Linked DNA regions of Mytilus edulis. The protein of the gene in region 1 interacts with the protein of each later gene in a pairwise test. Links are inferred from orthologs where the notes say so. Each region holds a gene or a part of one and is shown on either strand. Other genes may lie near its edges.

Region 1 (8,624 bases):
CGTCCTTCAGCTGGCCCCTAAACAAATATGTATACTAGTTCAGTGATAATGGACGTCATACTAAACTCTGAATCATACACAAGAAACTAACATTAAAAAATCATACAAGACTAACAAAGGCCATGCAAAAGCTCCTGACTTGAGAAAGGCGCAAAATTGCGGCGGGGTTAAACATGTTTATGAGATCTCAACCCTCCCCTATATACCTCTATCCAATGTAGAAATCAAAGAGCTGATAGCTCTGAAGTGGAAGGTGAATAAAAGGTAACTTGAATTACCATAAAAGCAGCCCCACTTACCCAGGCTGCTTTGTTCCATTATCGTTAAAATGTATTTTTTTTCTTCAAACAAGAAAAGGTCATAAGTACATGGATTTCCCATCCATACAATCATTTTCTATGTTCAGTTGACTATGAAAATTAGGTAAAATCTTTAATTTGGCAGTAATTAAGAAGATCATATCAAGAGGAACACATGTGTACTAAGTTTCAAGTTGATTGGATTTCAACTTCATCAAAAACTACCTCGACCATAAACTTTATAACCAGAAGCAGGACGGACGGACAGACTAGAAAACATATTGCCCATAAATGGAGCATAAAAATAGTAAGACTTGTTACATACCTGCCAACTTTTGAAAGTTCCCATATGGGTTTTTACTGCACAACAATTTTAAAGGTTACAATTTTTAGGGACGTATTTTGCAAGATCTGGATTGTCTAGAAAAAGTGTCATATTTGTATGATGAACTTACATGCCTTTTCCTTAAGTCTGTTTGCATGATTCTAGTTATATATTAAATCGGTAGAAAAAATATACATGAAGCTAGCAGACCAGGGTTTATTTTCCAGATTAAGAATTTTAGATGCTTGTTGAAATTTCCAATTTTGAATTATGCACAAAGATGGACCTTTAACAGGTTGGGAACAACACTCCAAATGAGGGTAACCTAACTGGAAGATCATCACAACCCACTGTAAAAAATGAACACAAAATAGAATTTTTCAATAAAATGCTGAAAATAGGCTTTAAAGTATTAAAATGCATTGCAAAAAACAAATATTTCATTAAATAAATTTAAGTAGAATATTCCTATGATATTCCTTTTCATATTGGATACAAATTTTATTGAGTCTACTGCAGACACTTTGTAGTCAAAGTGTTTCAACTGAGGTACTACACAGGCGTCAAAAGGCGTCATTATGGAGTAAAGGGGTGGCGTCAAAAAGCGTCATTATGGAGGAAAGGGTTAAGTACTGATTGGTCAAAACATCATGTTTTTTTATCGACATAAATTTTGTCATAAATGTAACCAAATGATGTAGAAATTGTGTTTTTTCTTCAAATTTCCATCAAATTGTAATGTTTATAGTTCCATTATTGCCTCTCTATTTGAATAAAATAAAATAATAAGAAGAATCTGTTTCTTGTTTTGTTTTGTTTTTGACAAATGATTGTTCACTGCTAGCAAATGAATCATTATATTTATATATCTTATCTGTATATATTTTTGTTCATGTCTTCATCTCCTTATCATTTGTAAATGTATAGACAAATAAGAAAGAAATTAGCTCCACAAGTATATTTGCAACATCGTAAATTAATTATAAACACATTCTGTTGTAAACAAAATTATGATATAAACTTCAATTTAATCCTTGAAAGGAGGTCTAGATTGCTAAAATAATTTATAAATTTTAATTTTTTTATTTGTCCAAAATCATTTAAATTCATTTAATCAACATCCTTTTATGATTATTTGATTAAAATATTAATCATTTATAGTCTTTTTACAATTTACATTTTTTAAAGCAAAATAACTGAAAACAGGATAAAACAAAGGGAAGTAACAAAAAAGTATTTCAATATTCCCAATACACATCGTTTTGATAACACAACGGCAGTTAGCCGGAGGTAAACATCGTTGATTACCAGTATGTTTGACACCCAAGCTGTCAAGTGAAGCCATATAATTATACATCTTCTTTGATGTTCAGGTAAAATTTAACACAGGTGTCAATTACACCCGTACAGTAGTAAGAAATGATCAAATATGGCGTCTGAAAAATTTCATACACGGGAGTTTTTTCTCCTAAAGGGGAGGTTCACATGTATGTTACGAAGGGCATCTAATTCACATGACAAAGGAAAACCATGAATAAAGACAACACTTTATATATCCTTTTTATTTATATAAAAACAAAATCTTCTTGTCTGCAGGATTGCAAATTCGTAACTTCAAGGGCGAACTTGTAAACAGGGCGAGTTGTCCCGATACCAAATTCACGCATGCGTAATACAAATATCTACAGTTAAAACATCCTGTTACAAGTAAACAAATAACGTTCATGTGGATGAGATGAAATCTAATAATTTACATAAATAAAAGGGTCATATTTACGATAGTGATTGTTTTACAATCATAATTTACAAATTAAATGATTCAGATGCCTAATCATGTGTAAAAATCAAAATCGGTGTCAGGAATCTAAGTTGTTTTGAAATTGTAATACACGAAATGAATGCGGCATACGGAGACTCAATGCCAATGGTCAGCCCCTTAAGTCTTCAGAAGACTTGACGTCTTCTTCCACTAAAAACAAACGCACAACACTACGCATAGTAAAACTCAGTTTAAGAGATGTCCGAGTTCGATTTCATAATCCATGGAGGAAATACTATAAAAACATCAAAAAATTGTATGTTACACTTGCATGTATTGTAAATATAAGAAAATTTCTTCAACTTTTATTATTTAGTACATATTACCAGTCCCATCGAACATTGCTGTTTTTCATGTAACAATAAAGCAAATATGTAACCGTAGCCTCAATTATTATTGTTACATTCGTAATTAATCGGTTCCTTATCCAACCATGCATTCCGGCATTTAGTCCCCAATGTAACAATAATATTTTTATTATTCACATCATGTAACCGTAGCCAGTGCCTTCTAAAATTTGGGTTGGGCCCCTAAAACTTTTATGAAAATGCCCATAGACTAGTGCTTCTCTTAATTTTAATATTTTGGCAAGTTTGGCTCCAAGTCAGAAAATGTTACTCTTATTCCCTGGCAGCCCGACACTGGGACCTCTGTTCGAACTCTTTGGAATATTGACCGATTGATGGAAAATGCAACTGTCAGCCTCAGGACAAGGTCAAAAAATTCTCCCGTCTTTCTGCTTAATATCTTGTTTCTTAACTTATACGTTATCTTGACCATGTATGTGTTTCATAAATCAGTGTGTTTGCAGTGTGAAATGTTTTAATCTGTGTGTTACCATTTTATGAATTTGCGATGACCATCGATAAATTTTCTATCAGTCGTTTCAACAACTTCCGGTAATGATCAAGGGACCATCTCAAAGTTATTATTCTTCATAAGTTCATCTAGTATAATTTTCCGACTTTTTTTTATACCGAACATGCGAATATTTGTCAAGGATTGAAGTTAATATAGTAATAATACGAAGGGAAAAACGACAAAGCAAGCCGTATGTGTGTTTATTTTTGTTTTAAACGCCCATATATGAGCCTCCTCATCATGTGTTTTTTTTACTTTTTTATATTATGTGATTATACTGCCATCTTTTTAGTGATTATTTGATTACCAGACCAAATACAGTAATTATTTGATTATTTGATAATCTATGACTTTATTTTTGATTACTTGATTATTTTTTTTTTTAATAAAATTGATTATGTGATTACATGGCAAAAACAATGTGATTATGTGACTACTTTGACACCCCATGGCATGCCTCTTATATCGCTCTGTATCCCGTCAACTGGGGCTACAAAAACATGGGTTGTGTACCTCTATAAAGGTTCGTGCATATACCAACCGTGGTTATTGAACACTCTCCAGCATTCATGATTGTCACGGAATCCATGACAAAAAAAAAAAAAAATTTGTTGATCTTGTAGTCAGTTTTGCTGATCTTTTTTGTTTCTCTGTTACAGCTTCTCTCTGTCTTCTTTAATATTGCCCAATATACAAAAAAGGGGTAACAAGTTGCAAGGATTTCAAAAGTCTCACTATACAAATCCTTGCAAATGGTTATTTTACCACAATTAAACCTATAAATAGTCTACTAACGATTTCAATATTATTTGACTAATTTGCGGCAAAATTTGCCGTGCTGATAATTTTGCTACATTGCATTGAAAGTATAAAAAAAAGAAGATGTTGTATGATTGCAAATTAGTCAACTCTCAACAAGAGACCAAAATGACACAGATATCAACAACTATTATCAGGACTATTATTATTATAGGACACCGTACGGCTTTAACAATGAGCAAAGCCCATACCGCAGTCAGCTATAAAAGCCAAGGCGCCGAAATGACAATGTAAAACAATTCAAACGAGAAAACTAACGGCCTAAGTGTATATTTATCTTTGACAATTTTCAAGATAATAGTAAAAAAGGTTTAATATTGGTAAATATTGTCATTAATGAGCATGGTTTTGTGATATATAGCCTTCCAGTAAATTTAGATTTCTTAGTGGCCATCTATGATATGGATAATAGTTGGAAAGACTATAATTATAAGAGGCAGAACACTAAAAATGTATAATTTTTTTTAGTAAAGAGCACAATCTTTTTAAAATAAGTTCATATATAAAAAATCGAGGAGCAAGTGATGTGAACTTATTTTGATAAGATTGTAAAGAGCAACAACTCCAACGAAGAGTGAGCTGGAGATTTCGGTCAGAATAAATTTGACAATGGAAATGGGGAATGTGTCAAAGAGACAACAACCCGACCATAGACTAAGAGCAGACAACAGCCGATCAGAAGACTTGTTAGTATATCTTAGTTTAAACGGTATTTATTAATGAAAAATTACAAGAATAAAATTATACTGTACAATACAATAATGTTACATGAAGTTCAAATATGGGATTCGGAAAAACTTATACAAATCCGTCCCCCCCCCCCAAAAAAAACCCCCACCATCTATTTAACAAAAAACATCACGTGCCAACAGTAGATTCTGTTTGAGGTAGCATATGATGAATTGAATAAATACACACACACACAAATACAACTAACAAATAAAATAAATTAAGATAAAGAAAATGGTAGATCTTATCTTGCAGATTGTGAAAAATGCACAATTGTAACCCTAGCCGTATTAGGCACAACTTTTTGGAACTTTTGGTCCTCAATGCTCTTCAACTTTGTATTGGTTTTGGCTTTTTTCATCTGAGCGTCACTGGTTAGTCTTGTGTGGACTATTAATCGGGCGTCTGGCGTATTAAATTTTAAACCTGGTACCTTTTGTTAGCTATTATTCGTATGTTTCTCTGTCCTATATGTTCTCCCATTTATTTGTATTGTAGTCCCGTCATGTAATGTTGTCATTTTAATGTTATATTTAACATTGCAATAAAAGTGGGAGGTTTAGCATGCCACAAAACCAGGTTCAACCCACCATAGTTTTCTTAATGTCCCGTACCAAGTCAAAAAAATGGCCATTGTTATATTATAGTTCGTTTCTATGTGTGTTGTGTTTCTGTTGTGTCGTAGTTATCCTCTTATATTTGATGTTTTTCCTCAGCATTAGTTTGTAGCCCTAATTTGTTTGTTTTTTTCAATCGATTTATGAATTTCTAACAGCGGTATACTACTGTTGCCTTTTTTTCTCCATAGGCGGTGATGGTAATGTTTTCTTCCGCAGCTCAGTCCGTATCCTAAACCTGGATATGTATGATGGCTCGTCAATCGAAGCTGAGACATTTTTACAGTATATGGTCAGTTAATTTTCAGGGTACGTAGTGTCATTCATTTTCCCGTAAATTAACATACATTTGTACCTCGAAAATCCTTTCGTGATGCGGCTCTTTATGGTGAAAAATCCCTTAATGTTTTACACGATAAGTTCTTTGAAAGGAGTAGGTCCGGTAAGGGCCGATTTTGGCCTCAAATTTCAGGTTCATCTGAAGAAAGATTTTGGACACTTTTTAAACACTTAAGTGTCTATTTCAGTTGATTCAATTAGTTTATCTGAAAGATTTTAACTGATTTTGTCATTAAAAACGCTCCGATTCAAGCTTTAATATGGAAAATCTATCAAATATGCCAAAAAATGTCACTTTTCAGATGGTTTTTGTCAAAATTGAAAGTGGCCGCATCCGTGTTCATCATATGTTATGTATTATCATCAAATACAACTTACATTTCATTATTAAGAATGAACAAAATTGCGGCCACTTTCATTTTTAGACGAAAACCGTCTAAAATTTAATTAAAATGCTAAAATTATGAAAATTTCAGTAATTTAGCATGACTTTATGATGCTAATACCTGATATATGTGCATTGTATTGTCAAAAACTGCACATATTTATGGAGCAGAAACATTGTCTTTTCAAATAAGTAACGAACAGTTTACATTTTAACAATTTTGTAAAACTGCTATATTTTGGGGCCAAAAAGAGGTCTTACTGGACCTTCTCCTTTAATACTTTGAATACATTTGATAATTCCATGGTTTTTACAAATTTATTCAATGGTCCTCTACTTTCCAAATCAACACAAATGATTAAGATCAGTCACTTGTTAAAAATCACAAACACGTCCAATATCACACACAACACACAGATATTTTGTTTACACACAACTGTTGGAGGCGCATTAGGGATATTGACCCAGATCATTTTTGCTTATTTCAGTTTCTATCTTTCTATTATAGCCTTTCCAGATATTCAAATAAAAGGCAAATTTTGGTCATAATCGTCACTAAAGGACAATAACTCCAAGAGAAGAGATCGCTCGTGTCCTGCTGATAATTTTTGCTTATTTAAGCCGTACGTATCTATTATCTATCTATTTATAGTTTTTTCCCAGATATTCGACAAAATTGAAAAACATTGATAAAAACCATGACCATGCTACCTTATTGTAGATATAGTCTCGTTGATCATTTCTGCTCATTGAAGTTCTCTCTATCTATTACAATTTTCATGGTAATATACAAAAATATAAAAAAAAAATGGTAAAATTCGTCACTGAAGGACATAAACTTCTTCTGACAGTTTTGTTGTAAACAGGCAATAGAAAATCTCATCATTTGAACATTTCTGACAAGCACCCATCAAACCTATATCAGCGGTTTTTAAGATAATACAAAAAAGTGCATTGTGTGTACCCCGATGTTCTTTTTTTTAGACATATTTTGGCCATGTTGGTTGGAAATCTTTTTTATAAACAAGATACCCTTATAATCAAGGATTTGTATAGTAAGACTTACTATACAAATCCTTGTTATAATGGATTAGACCAAGTTTTATTAAATTTGGCTTAGTAGTTTCAGAGGAGAGGTTTTTTGTTCAAGTTCAAGTAAATTGATGACGGACGCCTTGGGTGGTGAGAAAAGCTATAACTTACCTCCTTAGGCTAGGTGAGATAAAAAGGGAACCAGAATACTTATGTCTGACTGTAGTAGATGATTATCCATCCCTTTTCACTATTCATATTTTTTGGGACATGTAAAGACGTGGAGGCCACGGGCCTTTCTACAACTTTGTGGGATACTATAATATAGGACTTGTAAAGGACCATTTCATTTCATTTTATATTTTCAGTGGACTGTGAAAATGGGATAAAAATATAATTTGACATTAAAAGTAGAAAGATCATAGCATAGGGAACATGTATACTAAGTTTCAAGTTGATTGGATTTCAGCCTCATCAAAAACTACCTGGGTTGTCCAAAAACTTTCACCTGAAGCGGGACAAACAGACAGATGAACGAAAGGACACACAGACCAACAAACATAATGCCCTAGCTAAGTGGGGGCATAATGATTAGGTACATGATTGAGGACCTCACGTCCAAAAATATTTAAATACCAACCATCATCAAACAGCGTATGAAACGCATCCTGGTACAGTTTCAACATTGCTGGTTCATATGAACCCCACTGTCCCAGGTTAGGGGGAGGGTTGGGATCCCGCTAACATGTTTAACCCTGTCACATTATTTATGTATGTGCCTGTCCCAAGTCAGGAGCCTGTAATTCAGTGGTTGTCGTTTGTTTATGTGTTACATTTTTGTTTTTCATTTCTTTTTTTTACATAAATAAGGCCGTTAGTTTTCTCGTTTGAATTGTTTTACATTGTCTTATCGGGGCCTATTATAGCTGACTATACGGTATGGGCTTTGCTCATTGTTGAAGGCCGTACGGTGACCTTTAGTTGTTAATGTCTGTGTCATTTTGGTCTTTTGTGGATACTTGTCTCATTGGCAATCATACCACATCTTCTTTTTTATATCTTTTGAAGTAAAATATAAAAAACAAATATTTGCATTCATTCTCGTCAACCATCCACTCAATCAATTAATTATAAGGGAATTATAAGGTAAACTGAATTGTTAGTTAACTTTTTATACACTTGCGTATTCATAATGACTTTTGAGAATCTCCCTACCAAAAACCTTAAAAGGGTTGTACTATAAAACTGGTACAAAATGGCAGTAGGGTACCAGTTGAAAAAGGGTTCAAAATGGAGACTACTCAACCAAAAGGGAGAAACAAACATTTCGTTCTAAAGAAAAGAAGACGTAGGACAATAATTAATTCCAAAGACCTTGAAAAACTGGAAAGTTTATTCA
Region 2 (8,689 bases), on another chromosome or scaffold:
TTTCACAATAAAACGTAGAATCAGATCTTTTAGCTTGATATCAATCTAGAGTGGTAAAGTTTTGTGATGTTGTCGATCCATGTTTAAATCTGATCTGTTATCTCAAGTTTCAAAGTAAGGATGATGTTGGTCTAGATCATTATGGAGTTTCATTATACTCATTGTGTATTATCACATTTAATATGTTTAAACAGGTAAACATTATGTGTTCACTTAAACGTTTTTTGCATTTTACATTTGCATGGCTGCAAGAAATGGTTTGTCCTATTCGGTCTACCTTATATTTTATATACACAGCTACAGCTCAGGTGGATTTTGCTTTGTCCACCCGCCCAGTGAGAGTGGGCGCAGAGTGGGCAAAATTTCTAGCTTGTCCACTCTGCCCACCCATAGGAATTAATGGTCATTGAATTTCTTTTGTTGAATCAAGACTTGCATGTACAAATGTACATGTACAATCAATTGAAAAAAAGAAGATAAGCATTTGTAATATTTTACAAGAAAAGAGATTATACATGTAGCTACTAAGAGTGTGTACAGGTGATCAGCTGACCACTGTGGGCAGGTGGAAAAAGCAAAATCTAAATGGGCTGTTGTACATGTATAATCAAAATGCAGCTTCCATAAACATATTTAACCATCAAAATGGCTTAAACTATTATTGGGGTTTTCAAATAATGTTCCAGAGCCTGAGATTTTACAAATTGTGTTAAACATTGATTTCTGATTTGTTACAGTGTAGGAATCTATATTTCTGGCAGATGGGATAAACAACCAAACCTTCCTCCCATTTTTTAAATAACCAAATACTGTATATACATACGCATTGTCTTTTTGTACCCATATAAACTAGTGATGGAATTATGACTATCATCAATCTTTAATACAACAATCAGAATTTTACTATAATTTCTGATTTGTTACATTGTACATTCATTATGTACTTAAAAATCCAGTACTTGTCTTGAGACTTATAATTATTTATAATTAATAACACAGAGTACTAAATCTGACAAATTTGTACATTGTATGTAGTCATGATAAAGGTCTGTGAGCAATTCCTTGTATTCCTCAAGATGGAGTTGAATGGATGTTGCTATTTCAACTCAAAGACCTCTGACAATTGGTTTAGATTTTTCAAAATTTGAATACTATGAGACTATCACATGACTATGAGGAGACTAAGTGAAAAAGGTCTATGTGGAATTCCAGAATTTATGTTTTTTACCAAAAGAGGGTTTGAACATAAATTGACCATTGATGAAACACAGTTCATGAAGTTTATTTTCCCTGTTACATGTAAATACCTGAAGATTCAAATTTTGTTATCCATAATTACAATATACATTTATAGCTTACTATAAAGTATGGGTTTTGTTTGTTGAAGGTAGTAAGATGGTCTGTTGTTACAAAATGTACATGTATTTAAATGTACTTGATATTTCATTTCCTTTGGTCTGTTATTGGAAATTTGTCTCATTGGCAATACTGTACGTAGATCTCCTTATTAATACACACTCCAATCAATCTTCAATTTATCTTTCAAATCTGTTGCTGATGGACTTATTATGCATGGAAGGCAGCGATATAAAATCCAGTGTAACACACATGCAATTAATTAAAAGTTAAGAGTTTTCAAGTAAAAATTACTTTTTTAAGCTTAATGGTGTGACTTTACATTTAGTACTTAATTATAATTAGCCGCTCAAGATAACAATGCTGAATACAGTCTGTCGTTATCTATCATTCTGCATAAATATGATGTAGAAAATGTATAATTCTAATAATATGACTGCACCAGTCAGATTTAATCATTTTGGCAAAAGTAACCCCAAAAATCTCTGGAACATATTAAAGTGTTTCCCCATAGACTTTTTTGATGGCATGGGGAAGGGGTGGCGGTGTCTGAAAGGATGGTGGTCATGAATTTTTAAAAATAGGTTGAAGACTGCCTCCTTTATCATGTTTATGATACCCCCTTGAAATTCATTGTAAATTGTACATGTACATGTATATGTGAATCTGGAAGCTCTTTTCCTTCAACAGAAAGTGATTTGGGAATTCTCATTGAGGATTGAAAATTTCTTATACATGTACATGTAATGAAATTGAGAAAGGAAATGGGCAATGTAACATCAGTTGAAATGATGCAGTAAGATATCGATTTTGTTTAAGCATTATATGACTTTTGTTACTTTCATTTTACAAAATCAATGCATGATCAATTTCTTTTCTAATATGTTTTGTTAATGCATTTAATATATGTACAATGTATGTAAACTTCATTTTACAAAATATGTGAATGCACAATATCTTTCTGTTTAGTTAAATACAATATCAGTACTTTTATATATTTATTGTGTATATATTGAATAAATTTAAAAAATGTTTATCAGAGTTTATCAGGCATATGTGACCAATTGTGGATAGACAGTTAATCCTATTATAGAGGATCTAATCAAGTACACCATCAGGTGTATCAACAATTGGATTTAAACCAATTAATGCAGAAATAACAGCAGGTGTTTTAATATACCTATATAATCCAATTAACTATAAATAGTAAGTCAGATGGCTCTTTGATTTCTCAAAAATTTTGGAAGATAGATATTTAATTTATAGTAACAATGTAAAACATCTGTTTCAAATTTTTTACTCAAAAGAGATTAAGATCCCAATTACAGTGCAAAAAATCTGTATTAGAAAGCTCAAAAATTAAAAACAATAAATCCATATTACTTGAAAAATTGTATTAGAAACAATATTTTTTTCATTAACTCCATTATGTTTATTGAAATTTGAATACACAAATTTATTGGTAAATATTGGATTTCATATGTAAAGGAAATAATATTTTATTATCAATTTCTAACTTTAAAGATTATTCGATTTACAACTCTATAAAAAATGTAAAATGTAAGTCTTTAACTTCTGACTACACATTTTCCTTAAAATCTCATAGTAAAAATTTTATGAATGAAATATCCCAAGGCTGGGTTAATGTATACAAAATGGCTGTTTTGAATCTATTCTTGTAAAAGATGATGTCAGTTTTTAATACATAATAATGTATTTAAATGAAATGGGCGTGACTTGAATGTTTTACCTGAGGGGTAGTGGAATTAAGTTGGTTTTGGAGAGCATCTCTCTCCCTTTCAACATCTTGTAGTTTGGCTTGTGTTAATGATAACGTATCTTTAGTTTCTCTCAAATTTTCCATCAACTTATCTCGCTCATCCAGCATGTTTACCATCAAGTGTTCAAAGTTAGCATCATCACCCGAACACTGCGACTCGCCATCGTTCGAACCGTCCTCAGAAATCGTCGGCATAACATCACAACTCATTTTGAAATTTTTCCTGTTATTTAATCCAAATCAAAAGTGACATTCATAAAACAAATATCGGTTTTTCTACCGGTGATGTCAATAGCATCCCGGGTTACTTACGATCCTCGAATTTAGTTAGTGGTTTATAAAATTATCACTACATATTTTCACTATAATTTACGGTCCAAACAACAGAATGGTGTTTTCTTTTCGCCTCGTATGACAAAAATTCCATGCATATTTACTTGTCATGTCTAAATGTTTTGATTTTTAAATGACCCATCACATCTTATTTAGAAGCCATATTTCTTTTTCTAAAAGTGTGTCATTACCCACAATTCATTGGAATAAGTCATCGCAAGGGAAGTAACTCTAACCATTTATTCTTTTAATATTAGGCCAAAGTAAAATATATTTGGTTCATAGATATTGATGCATCTAGACTGTTACGTCAACAATATATAGCTGCGAGTCAGTGAAATAAATTCTTTTCTAATTTGTGTAGTAATTTGTAAACAAAAACAAAAGGTACCATTTGATAGGTCAATATAATAAAAAAAAAATATTAGTCGAAGAAAATTAGACAATGTAACTATTTTTAAAATTCCCGTATAAAGTTATGTTTGCTTGTTTGTTAGACAGTCCTATATAGTTTCTTCTTGTATTTCTTGTCTTGATGGCCATCTCTACTGTTTACAATTTCTAGCTATTTAATAAACTTTCCGGGATGACTGTGAAAATAACAATAGATAGGCCTATAGTAAGAATCTTGCTATACATGCAAATCAGATTCCTTGTATATAGTAAAAAAAAAAATCGTTATTCAAGGCTGTGAATCAGTAGTATATAATTATATTATGTTCCAGTTTATCAGTTTATAAAAAAATACTCCAAAGAATGTAAAAATGTCCTCTGGTGCAGTAACTCCCACAAATACTCATGCATGCAGTTGGTCAATTTTGATTGGTACAAATATTTGTTCCAACAGGAATAGATATTACGACAATGTTTATAACAAAGTTAAATTTCTATTAGAACTTCTGTTAGGCGGAATAAATATACGTTGTCAGCTCAACAAATTTGTTTTCCTATTTATTTGGTTCAAAGTTCTGCAGATGGTATAAAAAAGGGTAAATATCCTCTTACAATGGCATTAACTCTAATAAGGGGTTAGTTGGCAATTTCAGCCATTTGCACATCTCATTTCTGGGTACAGATGATCGGGCGCAGTACGTTTACGCGCATTTGGGAATTACAATGTTTTACGTTTGCGCGCATCTTTTGATTACATTTGCGCGCATTCATTTCACAGGTAATCTCAGGTAAAAATATAAATAAAGATATATTAAATTATAAATGACGATATTTTTTTGGTATTTTCATAATAGATATGACTATCAATTATTACTTTTGAAAATAGTTTCTTAATTCAAATTATATATTGTTCATATTGAATTCTAAAACCAATTTTAAACCTCGTTATAGCTTAAGGTCAAGTAACAATAAATGGGCTTTGTCACAGATTTCTTAAAATTTTGCATACACCTTTGACTTATTGAATTATATCCGAAAATCAAAAAAATATGCGGCTTTATCTCCTTATAATTACATTAGATGTATGTTTCATTATAATCCTTTATTCTGATTGGCTAACTGCACATCACATGTTATTCCTTAAGCAATTGCATTACTCAATAAAACTTTTCATTCAGGATAACACGTGGTCCCACAATAAAGTGCACAGGTGAATTAAATAAAAAAATTATAAAATTCGTGGTTTCTGGTTCATAGCTAAAAAATGTAATTATAAGTATTGAATGCTTCTTTTTGTAACTTTATAGGGTTGTAAAAGCTAGCGTTGACCGTAGGTACATTTTTAGAATGAAGCGCTTCCGCGCTTCATACAAAATGTACTTCGGTCAACGCTTTTACACCCCAATAAAGTTACAAAAAGAAGCATTCAATTCTTAAATAAATAAATAAGTATCTTTACCTGTATTTTACCTGAGTTTACCTGTTAAAAGGATGCGCACAAATGTAATCAAAAGCTGCGCACAAACTTAATGATTTTGGCACGCAAATGTAATGGTAATGCGCGCAAACGTAATGCACCGAGATGATCTATTATAGCTGTTAAAAAAATGGCTAAAAATCGTTTATAATGGCAATAACTCTTATAAACAACAATCATTCGACGATTGTTAACCTATATGTATAGACCTTTTTGTTCTTGTGTTTTTAACCTTTAAAAGAATATAACAATTTGTAAATTTCGTTCGATCATTCCGCTTTTTCTTGAATTACTATTAAAAGATTCTCTCTATCCATAATAGTTTTAAAGATTTTAAGATAATAACTAAACAAACTATGAAATTTACTAAAAAGTACATTTCATGGTCAAATATTCTAAATTGGGTTGTCCTAGTTTGCTAAAAAAAAAATAATCATGGTGCAAAGAACTTCACAAGCTGATTAATTTTAGTCGATTCCTGTCCTGCTCTAACTACTTTGATCTTTGAGATATAATCCAAAGACTGCATATTACCTATACGTTGTATGTATAGAACCTGCATCCATTTTTAAATTCAAATCCCCATGTACAGTTTTAAACTAGAGTCCCTGGAACGGTAATTATTTTTTTTAAAGAAAATTTGAATTAAAAAAAATGGTGAAATAAGCTCTTGAATCTCTTCCCATACAATGGATAATCTATAAAATGAGAGGAATCTGGACAAGAAAAAAACTGCATATAATATAAAAGGGAACAAAAGAAGCAGGAAATGAGGGATTAGGACAAAAATGTGACAAGAATCACATAAATCAATAGAAACTGAACTATGATAATAAAAGCACATAACTAGTTTGTTGAAAATATGATAGTGGATATCATACAAGCTACGTTGGGGATATATAACCACAAACAAAGTTACTGAACATTTTAAAAATAGCAGTTCAGCAGACAACATGGTGTTATAATCTTAATCCCTAAAAAAACAAACAAAAAAGAACCATTGGTGAACTTGGACTGTTTTCTGCTCTTCCTCAAGAAAAACAATATGGCATACATGCAAAGCACTTAAGCAAAAATGAAAGACAACACCACATTGGCGGGATGTATAAATACCGAGCAACGTCAAAAGGATGTTACCAAAAATGGATTAAGTGATTGTTGGTACCTATTAAAACGTTAAAACCTGCTGCAATCGTTTGCACCTGTCCTAAGTCAGGAATCTGATGCGCTGTATAGTTGTCGTTTGTTGATTTGGTTCATAAGTGTTTCTTGTTTCTCGTTTTTTTATATAAATTAGGCCGTTGGTTTTCCCTTTTGGATAGTTTTACATTAGTAATTTTTGGGGGCCTTTGTAGCGTGCTGTTCGGTGTGAGCCAAAGCTCCGTGTTGAAGACCGTACTTTGACCTATAATGGTTTACTTTTATACATTGTGACTTGGATGGAGAGTTGTCTCATTGGCACTCCTCATATCACATCTTCTTATATCTAGAAACAGTCAATGTTAATTGTTTTCACAGACAAATAAAGAACACAACAAACAAGTCAGTACCTATTATCTATACTTTAAGGCCATCATATATATTATTTTTGAAGTTAATACGAAATATTTATCAACAAAGTCTTAGTATCTTTCGATGAACTTTATTTTAGAGAAAGGACGACACGTTCTGTGACATAACCCTGGTTCTTCAACTTTCTGCTCAGACACTGATGACGTTTTATAAAGTCTGGGTAGCAAGCTCGACATCTTGAATACATGTGAAATCGATAATTTCAAATTAAAATCGTCTCGTTTGTCATAGATTCTGGCACCGAAACAATCTAATTAAAATATTGATCTCTGATTACGTTATACTACATATGAGTATAACGTAATCAGAGATCAATATTTTAATTAGATTGGCACCGAAATTACCTTTTATGTCAAATTCGATGTATTAGTCTTCAAATCAGGCGGAGAAAGCCATGTCTATTGTTTCTTTAGTTTCTAACTCTGGAGGATATATTAATGAATCCAATCAGAAAAGTTTGGATTGTTAATGGAAAGAACATCCTCAATATATCTGAATGTGAAATTAAATGATCTGGTTTCTTTGATCTTCTTGTTTTTGACAAGTGCCTGCAGGAACTCCGACTCATATGAAGATAAGAAGAGGTAGGCAAGGAGAGGCGCACATTTTGTTTCCATAGGAATGCCGATAATTTGTTGGAAAGTCTACCTCCAACTTTAACAAATATGTTGTCAATAAGAAACTCCAGCAAGCTGATCACTTGTTCTTCTGTGTAACCTGTTTGACCTTTTTGTTCACTATAAAAAAAAATGTCATATAGTATCCCAAAGTAATGAATTTATAGCGTATTCTATCATTTTTATAATGAAAAGGAGTGTGGAAAATTTCTTTAAGACGATCTTCCAATTTCACATCGGGAATGATGGTATACAAGATTGAAAACTGAAAAGTTTTGATATAACTAATTTCGGAGAAAGATAGAAATAAAAATTAGCCGAAAGATATTTAGATTTTTTTTAGAATCCTGATATGGCTAATACCACTACGCGAGTAAACAGTTTCACAGTATTTCTGAATACCTTCTTTCACTGCGGACGCAATTTTTGTGTCAATCTGACAGACAATTCCGTTGTAGCAAATGCAGATAAGCCGCGGCAATATACTATTTTTTGTACGAAATTTTGTGAAGCTTAGGTATCCAAAACTAACAAGATAATTCCTCAGATTTGCTGGTAAACATAATTTTCGATGCAGCCATGGTGGTCTTATGATGCGCCAAAATCTCATCATTGGTGGGATTACCTAGTGAGTGCTCATTTATTCCTTATTCCTTTTAATTTACAAGACACCCATAGAAAAACTATGTTCAAACAAAGACAATATCATTTTAACCTTATTCCGCAGGAACAACAGCTTTATCGTGAAGAGAACAATACATGTTATAGATATAGGAGGATGTGGTATGAGTGCCAATGAGACAACTCTCCATCCAAATAACAATTTATAAAAGTATACCATTATAAGTCAAGGTACAGCCTTCAACACGGAGCCTTGGCTAACACCGAAATACAAGCTATAAAAGGCCCCCAAAACAACTAGTGTAAAACCATTCAAACGGGAAAACCAACGGTCTAATCGAGAGAAAAAAAACGAGAAACGAGAAACGAGAAACACATATAAATTACATAAACAAACGACAACTACTGTACATCAGAATCCGAATGTAAGGCTAGTTGTACAGTAACATCAAACCAGAACGTACCTAACTAGTTTGCGGTCCATATTAGAGTAAAGCAAAGTCCCTTTTACCAACTAGGACATTATTAAAGATATATAAA

Evidence for each region. The genes of interacting proteins can lie anywhere in the genome.
Region 2: the proteins of kinesin-like protein unc-104 (region 1) and liprin-alpha-1-like interact in binary tests that used the Caenorhabditis elegans proteins (3 or more experiments, as listed by UniProt). The link is inferred for Mytilus edulis from reciprocal best matches to the Caenorhabditis elegans genes unc-104 and syd-2.

What each region holds. Positions count from the first base shown.
Region 1 is NC_092356.1:26,930,882-26,939,505, reverse strand, and holds the start of kinesin-like protein unc-104, read right to left. Parts: upstream 3,352-8,624; 5' UTR 3,282-3,351; intron 1-3,281. Other genes in the region: uncharacterized protein, read left to right, coding at 8,516-8,624. UniProt on the Caenorhabditis elegans protein: Motor protein involved in microtubule-associated anterograde transport. Regulates the transport of synaptic vesicle precursors in the axon of DA motor neurons. Regulates the polarized sorting of axonal proteins.
Region 2 is NC_092350.1:37,967,517-37,976,205, reverse strand, and holds the start of liprin-alpha-1-like, read right to left. Parts: upstream 3,683-8,689; 5' UTR 3,347-3,682; coding exon 3,107-3,346; intron 1-3,106. UniProt on the Caenorhabditis elegans protein: May play a role in regulating the structure of the neuronal region, called the active zone, from which synaptic vesicles send neurotransmitter signals across the synapse. This may be in association with the liprin-beta protein hlb-1.